Neurospora crassa OR74A: one gene and its partner. The protein of the gene in region 2 purifies or fractionates together with the protein of the main gene of each other region. This does not show direct contact. Links are inferred from orthologs where the notes say so. Each region holds a gene or a part of one and is shown on either strand. Other genes may lie near its edges.

Region 1 (4,416 bases), on a different chromosome or scaffold from region 2:
ATACGCTCCTCAACGCAACATGTCTGCTGGTCCCGGCAGTGGCTCCGGAGGCGGCTCCGCAGGAGGAGGGAAATTCAACCCCAAAAACCTCCACTACGACCGCTCCGCTACCCTCCCTCCCTTTCTCGCTCGGTTGCATGCTCAACATGCCCCCGGGAACTTTGACGGTCCCGATCCGATCCTGGCTGCGCGGAGACGACCGACGAAGAAAGCGAGGAGTGGAAGTGAGGAGGCGGAGGACGCGCCGCTTGTTTTGGACGAACAGGGGAATGTGGTTGATGGAGTGTCTGTGGGGAAGGATGGGAGGGTGATGGAGTCTGGTTCGAAGGTGGAGGGTGAGGGGACCACAGAGGGGGAGGGACAGGGACAAGAGGGGGAAGAGGGGGAGGGGGGAAAAGATGGGAAAGAGGGGGAGGGGGGAAAAGATGGGAAAGATGGGGAGGGAAAACAAGAAGGGAGAGAAGGGGAAGGGGGGGACAGAAACAAACATGGGGAGGGGAGTAAAGAAGGGAATAACAAGATGGCAAAGGAGGAGAAAGGAGTGGGAATAGGAGCGAGTAAGAAGAAGAGAAAGGTAGGGAAGGTCATTGCTGGCGATGATGACTCTGATCAAGAGCAAGATGGGGATGCTAAGGAGCCAAAGGCAAAGGCTGAGGGTACAGATGCCAAAGACCAAAGCGGAAAAACGGAACAGGCAGGGGAGAAACCAAAGCCCAAGACGGCCATGAAGAAGGCTAAGAAAATCAAGCTTAGCTTTGGTGATGGTGATGAGGAGGGTTGAGATGCCGTCGTTATCGGGCTTGGGCGCTGGAAGTACATAAACACCGACGGGAGAAAAAAAAGGGGGGCATGCCGAGAGGAAGGTGTGTGTTCAAGGCTAACAACCACGTCGGCCGGCGCATGTCCCAATAGCAAGTGGAAGGGCGCAAGATGCGCGACCTGGTGACAAGCTTGCGGATGACGAGGGATGCAAAGTCCGAGTTTGTCTATGCCGTTATGCCTGGAGTACTACCCAAGAGCTGTCCGGAGAAAAGCAATAGGGAGCTGTGCCAGAACGTCGTTCCCGATCCTGCGGTGCTCTGACTCAGTGCCAGGCAGAAGAAGCTATCTTGGATGGTCTCGAGTCTTGTTGCTCGGTACCGCAGAGAAGGTCGAGTCTAGATGATTCTGCGAATGCACTCTGAGCAAACAGCCCTAGTAGCAATCCTGAATCTAGATACTGTCACGCCAATCCAACCTCTTTCGAGCTTCTCGATGGTATATACAATTCCATGTTCAGTATTTATTTGGCCCCAGGGTTCTAGGTAGAAATCTACAGCTCTAGGTTCCCGAATGCAAGTCCAATGAGGTAACAACCACCTACCCAGCCTCATCATCACCCCCGTGTTCTCCAGGTTCGCATTCACAGTGCTTGCCTCCCAGTAAACTTGTGTCATATGCATGCATCGTATTTGTCAATGTCTTCTTCTATTAACAACCCACTACACAAAAACCTCAAACCTCCCTTTGCAAACCCCACAACTGGGTAATTTACCAGTACTCGGGCTTGACGTAGTCGGCAAAGGTCTTGGGCTCCTCGAAGCCGTGGTGGTCGTGGCCGTGGTCGTGGGCGTGGTCGTCCTGGGGACCGACGTAGTCCATCTTGTAGACGTTGCCGCACTCGGGGCAGCGCTCGACGGGGCGCTCGCGGGTCATCTATTTTTTGGTTAGAATACTCAATTTGAGCGGTAGAAGAAACAGAGAAGAGAAAAAACTCACGGTGAGCCAGATGACGTTGTGGGAGTCGGCAGGGAAGCCAGTGCAACCGGCGTACTGCTCATCACCGGCGGAGCGGACGGAGATGGGGTTCTCCATGGTGCCTATTTTTCAACTGTCAACCCCCCAGCTCCTCTCAACCCAGGTTATTACAGCAAGTCTTACCCCTGCGGGAGGCATCAAGGGGCTTCATGTCGAAAACGTCGACGCCCTCCATCTTGCCGAGAATTTCGAGACGCTCGAGACCGGTGGCCTGCTCGAGATCGGTGGGGACAGTGCCGGGGGCGGCACCGGGGCCGAAGAGGTCATCCTTGGTCTTGATCTCTGTTTGTCGCGAAAGGTATATATGTCAGTCATGTATGTTTTTTCGTCGTATGCGGTTTCGTCCGTCACCCCGCATCGTCATGGAGCGAGTGGAGGCTATAGGGAAGCTGGGCTGAACTGAGCTACCCGGCCGGTGGAAGCTGTGGTAGATAGGGGAGCCTCAAGCTTGAGCTGGTCGAGGAGCTTCTTCTCCGGTTCGTCCGCGCAATGATAATAACCCCCTCCTTTTTGTGGTCGTCCAATGCTTTCCTCCTCCTTCTTCTTGTTGTTTCATCAAGCTCCCCCAAGCTTGACTAAGCTCAGCTCGAGCTTCGAAAGACCCACCACAGCTTCCAGTTCGCGTAGCCCAGTTCTCCAGCAACCCCAATAGACACAATGGTGACGCAATCGCCGGCGGGGGGAGATCATCATACCGGAGAGACGCTTGATGTGGGGGACAGGCTTGGTCTCGGCGTTGCCTGGAATCAAGATAAAAACATGGTGTCAGTTTTGCGATCGGGATTCGGGGGTTTGTGATTGATGCGCGTTTGGTTGTCGCGAATTGGTTCGAGGTGGTGGTGGGGTCATGATGTCGTCGTCGTTGGTGGTGGTGGTGGTGATGATGCTTATGCGCGGATATTTGCAGCTTCGCGATTGGAGCTTTTTTGGATGCCGTGCTTTTTTTCAGGCCGCAGCCGCTAAAAACCAAGAGACGTTTCCAATGTTCACTTACAGCGCACAACGGTGGTGGCGATGCTGCGACGGAGAGCGGGGGCAGCGGTGGCCCGGCGGGCGACGGCGACGGCGGTGCGGGACAGGAGCATGTTGGCGACGGCGGCGGGTGGGTGGTGGTGGATGGTGTGATGTCGGAGTGACAGAATTGACCGGGAGAGAGCGGAGAGGCGGGAGATGATGTTTTGTCGCTGTCTGTCCGAATCCGAAGCTGGTTTGCCCACACTGCCGTGGGTCCCACAGCTGAGCTGGGCACCACTGCAGTGGACAGAGGCCCCGACCGTGCTGCCCTTCCCTTCTGCCGCTGGCAACTGGCGAACGGGCGGTTGTTTGGTACGAATGGAGGCGCTTGGACCACATTCTGGAAAGCTTCCCCAGCTGGTTGCCAGAAGCAGCTAGCGCACGGTCAGGTGATGCAGCACGTGGGACCGCTCATATCATCAGTACTGTACCATGAAGTGAAGCGACAATTGCGTGATGAATACATGGCAAGAGACTGTGTGAAGCAATCCTAGGTTTCAATTGACTTGGGTACGGCATAGATTATATAATGATTGAGCTAACTGGGAGCAGAAGGAAGAAGGTCTTGATGAAGCTATTGCAGGTTTGACTGGCGTGACCCTAACCCTCCAAGCCCCAATCAAACATCGACAATGCTCCACCCCGTCAAACGGAACTCGGGCTTTCCAGCTTCAAACTACCGGGCCCAATCCGGCTTCCGTGTCCGATAGTGGATCCCCGGATCGGCGCCCTGTGCAAGTTGGAGCGGCACCATTCCGGAAGTGTGCAAGTTATCTTATCCAACTAACTCACGAACGAGAACACAACACAACAAACGATCCACAGCTTCTTCACCACAGCCGGTAACCGCCACCGGTCCTTTGTCAACTCCCTCCCCTCTCACCTCCACCCGCTCCTTGAGAAGGAGGAGCAGAAAGGAAAGTGGTATCTGAAGTTGTAGGGGCTGGGTGGTTGTGGAAGAGGTGGAGGCATGCATGGCAGTGAAATTTCGCATATGAGAGTCGGGTTCGGAGTTTGGGACGCCTGGGAGCTTACACAACACTCGTATTTTACCTTGTTCAACATGGAGGCTCAAGACATGGAAACACACAGGACGTCTTGTTAAGCACATGACCACGCCCTACAGCTACGTACTCCTCTCTCTGCCTCCTACCCACTAAGTAAGATTCTTACCTACATGATACCACCTCCTAGTGGCGGAAAATTCCCACCTCCCGAACACCACCATCCCCAAACCCCAGAGTCCTGTCCCATGGTTCTCGCCCTGTTGAGGCACAGACGATGCACCCCGTTTTTTGTTTCCCATTTTGGAAGTTGGGCAACTGGGGTATGCGGGGAGCCCGTCATGCAGTTACTGTCGTTTGCTTCAGTTGAGCGGTTTTCAGGGTCTTGGATGTCACTCACGTGGTCGATACTAAAACCGGCGATGGTGCTGGATGGCTTGCATACCCCTGACTGGATGAGGATGAGGTGGGTGTCGAGAAACATGCGATATGGAATGGTGAGACAGGGGCTTAAGTCTTGGAATATTCCACGAACCATACCTACCTCTGTTCTAGCCACCCGACCATAGGATCGGGCTCCTGCTTTGTCTTTAGGCATACA
Region 2 (4,263 bases):
TCCTCAAGCACGAGCTGAAAGGCGGCTGTCGCGCTCTGGCGGTCATGGGCAGCAAAATCGTGGCTGCACTCCACAAGACAGTGGTTATCAGCCAGTACGAGGAAACGTCAAGCACTGAGGCCCATCTCGTCAAGCTCGCGTCTTATCGGTGCACAACTTATCCGGTCGACATCGCGGTGCATGGCAACATGATTGCTGTTGCTGATATGATGAAGTCGGCTACACTGGTCGAGTACGTCCCGGCCAAAACCGGAGGGGAGAAGTCCGAAGCCCCCAAGTTGGTAGAGTGCGCGAGACACAGGCATTCTGCGTGGGCAACGGCCGTGGCTCACGTTGAGGGCGAGTCTTGGCTTGAAGCTGATGCCAATGGCAATCTGATCGTGCTTCAACGCAATGCTGAGGGCGTGACAGTGGAGGACCAGCGGCAACTGAGGATAACAAGCGAGCTCAACCTGGGAGAACAGGTGAACAAAATACGCCCGATCAAGGTCGAGACTAGCCCGAACGCCATCATCATTCCTCGAGCGTTCTTGGCCACGGTAAGTTGCCTGTTTCTCAGATTGATCATGTCACAAGGTCAAGGCTAACAATTGACTTGATAAAACAGGCGGAAGGCGGTATTTACATGTTTGGTACGATTGCGCGCGAACAAGACCTCTTACTTCGGTTCCAGGATAAACTGGCGGCGGTGATCAAGACAGTTGGCGAACTCGATTTCAACTCCTACAGGGCATTCCGCAATGCGGAAAGGGGGCCCGAGGCAGATGGAACGACTGGGCCGGTCAGGTTCCTGGATGGGGAGTTGCTGGAGAGGTTTTTGGATGTGGATGAGAAGACGCAGAAGGAGATCTGCGAAGGTCTTGGGCCGAGCGTTGAGCAGATGCGCAATATGGTAGAGGAGCTACGGAGGATGCACTGAGCCAACGGTTAGACACTTAACGTGCATGATTGGATGTCTACAAGTCATCGCTTTGGCTGCTGAAGATTTTGGCAGTTGCAAGTGTTGTCAATAAGTGCTGTGCTCAAAACATGGCTGCATAGGGTGAGAGAAGATGAGTCTGTGAATAGCCTCAGATGAACGAATGAATTATGTATGATCAATAGATCAATTGACATCACTGTCTTGGCACCCTTGGCTCGCCGAGTCGCTGACAGTTCAAGTTGTCCGGGCGCTGCGGTGACGCGCTGAGGTGAGCCCCACCACCACCATCACCACCACCAACAGGACGAACCAGGCGACGGAAGAAACCGGAGAGTGGACGAACAGGCAGTCACAGCCAATCAGGGCCGGCGCATTAAGTAGCTCTCTAGCTGCTGGGCGGACGCTGTGGTTGGTTAGTGCCTCAGGCCACAAGCCAGTAGCTATGGCGGTTTCCCATGCCGGGAAAGGTGGGAACCAAGCTCGGCCCAGAAAAACCTCAGTCCGTGATTTTGGCCTCGTCGTCTCGACCGCATTACGCAGCCGTCAATTCCGTCTCCGGAACACCGCCCACGTCCACCGTCCTCCCGCGACTCCGAAAGAGCAGAACCTCGCTCGATCTCCCCGCTCTCGCAACCCCCTCTCTCCGCTCCGACCTCTGTCCACGCGAGTAATTCTACCGACACAATGGCGCCCGTCTCGATCGTTTCCCGCGCCGCCATGCGCGCCGCTGCCGCCCCCGCCCGGGCCGTTCGCGCTCTCACCACCTCGACTGCCCTCCAGGGTTCCTCGTCCTCCACCTTCGAGAGCCCCTTCAAGGGCGAGAGCAAGGCCGCCAAGGTCCCCGACTTCGGCAAATACATGAGCAAGGCGCCCCCCAGCACCAACATGCTCTTCTCCTACTTCATGGTCGGCACCATGGGCGCCATCACCGCCGCCGGCGCCAAGTCCACCATCCAGGGTGAGTCTTGACTTGATGGGATTTGAGGAGGAAGCTTCACACATTCCTCGAGGTTGGGGAAAACAAAGAGGTGGCATAGGACAGATGGGTTCGGGTCAATGGGATTCGACAAGGGGGTTCTGTTATGGTGGGGCGAGCTATCTACGGTTCCGTCTCATCGATCACCAATTTGCGACCACTATGACAACTTTCGATATCGGGGCGGATATGGTTGGACCTTGGGGCGATGTTGAAGCATGGATACATGGGGAAAATGCCATCTTGCACATGCACCCACGAACACCCAAGAACTAAAGACAGCTGACGAGGCGACCGTGTTATACAGAGTTCCTCAAGAACATGTCGGCTTCCGCTGATGTCTTGGCCATGGCCAAGGTTGAGGTTGACCTCAACGCCATCCCCGAGGGCAAGAACGTAAGGATCCCTACGAAACCGGATTAGCAAAGGCTTGGGCTGAGCTGAGCTGGGCACATCGATTCCCGACGACGATCAAACCATGATGGAATGCTGACCCCGGTCTTTTCCTACTTTTACAGGTCATCATCAAGTGGCGTGGCAAGCCCGTCTTCATCCGTCACCGTACCCCTGCGGAGATCGAAGAGGCCAACAAGGTCAACGTTGCCACCCTCCGTGACCCCGAGACCGACGCCGACCGTGTCAAGAAGCCCGAGTGGCTCGTCATGCTTGGTACGCCCCTCCATGTCCCTCTTTGCGATCCGAACAAGACGAAGGATAGCATTTTTGGATGCTCAGATCCTGGATACACGACGATGTGGGGAGACTGACATTTGGTGTGTGAACAAAACAGGCGTCTGCACCCACTTGGGTTGCGTTCCCATCGGCGAGGCCGGTGACTACGGTGGCTGGTTCTGCCCTTGCCACGGTTCTCACTACGATATCTCTGGCCGTATCAGGAAAGGACCTGCCCCTCTGAACCTCGAGATCCCTCTCTACGAGTTCCCTGAGGAGGGCAAGCTTGTCATTGGTTAAGCGAGCAAAAAGACAAAACTTTCCGATTGAACAAACAAGACACAATTTTTAACCAAACCTACTAGGGAATCCTCTCGATATTCCCTTGTCCACTTTTTTTTTCCCTTGCTGCCCGAGAGACGATGACAGGGAGAATTGTATTAGTACGGGGGTATTGCGACAAAGGGCTTGAGTGGAAGCATGTCATAGACCATAAAACGGGATTTTTGTTTTCCGTGGTTCTTGACGCGGTTTCGTACGACTATCCTATAGACAGAAGACACACATACGCATACACAACAGCAAATCAGGTGTCACGGTCGATCATATGCGCTCGAGAGTCGGAAACTTCTATATACTCAGAACTGCGTTCTTCACCTACGCAACCCTACATACCTATTATTGGTGCTGAGCTTGGCGCTAGGTTGCTGCTGAGTGTTGTACCCTTGCGTTTTCCTATAGACTGGCTTTGTAGAAAATCCTATTGTATGAGAGGCTCACTGGAGCATGGTACCGTGAGAAGGTCTTCCTCGACCCATGGCAGTCGGCTGTGGCTAAGAGCTTTGTGAGGAAACCATAGGTCAGCTGATGAACCTCCCAATGCTAACGCATCTGATCATCCAACACGGCATTGGTAAATACAAATGGCCTTTTATGCGGGTGTGGGACAGACAGGCTACATGTCGAATTGCTGGAGAGCAGCTCGACCAGAATTACAGATGTTGACAACTTAATCTTAGCTTGGCCAACCTTGCGAATCAAGCCCAGTCGGTATACCCGCCCGTGCTACTCTGGTAGCTGAGTTAAGGAAACGCCCGCGAACCGGTAGCTTACCCTGGTTGTTTCATTGACGTCTGAGGAATTCTCCGAACGTAATTATATCTGAAGCCCGCCTTAACATCTTGTGCGCTACTCAAGCCGACACATAGTTAGTGCACTACCTCCAACCATAGCCCCTTGCCAATGCTGGCCGGGTGGGTTGCAGTCTCATTGCAGGGGCTAGGTTGTACCCCCATGCGCTCCCCCTTGCTCTGAGTCTTTTTCCCCCACAAACAAAACAACCTCATCTTTTGAACTTCGCCTTCCCGGGCGCGTCTTGACACAGCTTTCTCACTTCTTCACCAAATTCTCGAAACCCCTCACCCTTGCGGCTCAAAGGGGCTGCTCCTAGGGTCATGTAACAAGCGAAGTTCCATCGTTCGTCTGATCTGACTTGCCGACTACCCGAGGCACCATGGCGGCCACGATTCACCCACCACGACTGGACAAAGTTGTTCTCGAACATAAATTATGGCAGGCGCCACGGTCATTGACGGCGACCGAGATCGAGGCATGCCGATGCCACCGAAAGCGAGAAGTGAGGGGTGGGTGAACGTCGCAGTCAATCAAGCGCTTATGGAGTCTCATCTTATAT

The links.
Region 1: the proteins of fes-1 (region 2) and cox-4 purify together in Saccharomyces cerevisiae (affinity purification with western blotting; 8 studies listed by BioGRID, with this or other methods). This does not show direct contact. The link is inferred for Neurospora crassa OR74A from reciprocal best matches to the Saccharomyces cerevisiae genes RIP1 and COX4.

Annotation. Positions count from the first base shown.
Region 1 is NC_026503.1:513,972-518,387, forward strand, and holds the start of cox-4 (cytochrome c oxidase polypeptide IV), read right to left. Parts: upstream 3,087-4,416; 5' UTR 2,883-3,086; coding exon 2,792-2,882; intron 2,538-2,791; coding exon 2,493-2,537; intron 2,080-2,492; coding exon 1,921-2,079; intron 1,860-1,920; coding exon 1,759-1,859; intron 1,696-1,758; coding exon 1,531-1,695; 3' UTR 782-1,530; coding exon of another isoform or gene 20-781; 3' UTR 1-19. Other genes in the region: NCU05688 (hypothetical protein), read left to right, coding at 20-781; NCU16615 (hypothetical protein), read left to right, coding at 4,064-4,384. UniProt on the Saccharomyces cerevisiae protein: Component of the cytochrome c oxidase, the last enzyme in the mitochondrial electron transport chain which drives oxidative phosphorylation.
Region 2 is NC_026504.1:1,785,007-1,789,269, forward strand, and holds fes-1 (ubiquinol-cytochrome c reductase iron-sulfur subunit), read left to right. Parts: upstream 1-1,399; 5' UTR 1,400-1,606; coding exon 1,607-1,880; intron 1,881-2,205; coding exon 2,206-2,294; intron 2,295-2,416; coding exon 2,417-2,567; intron 2,568-2,688; coding exon 2,689-2,870; 3' UTR 2,871-3,598; downstream 3,599-4,263. Other genes in the region: dim-8 (DNA damage-binding protein 1), read left to right, coding at 1-539, 608-919. UniProt on the Saccharomyces cerevisiae protein: Component of the ubiquinol-cytochrome c oxidoreductase, a multisubunit transmembrane complex that is part of the mitochondrial electron transport chain which drives oxidative phosphorylation.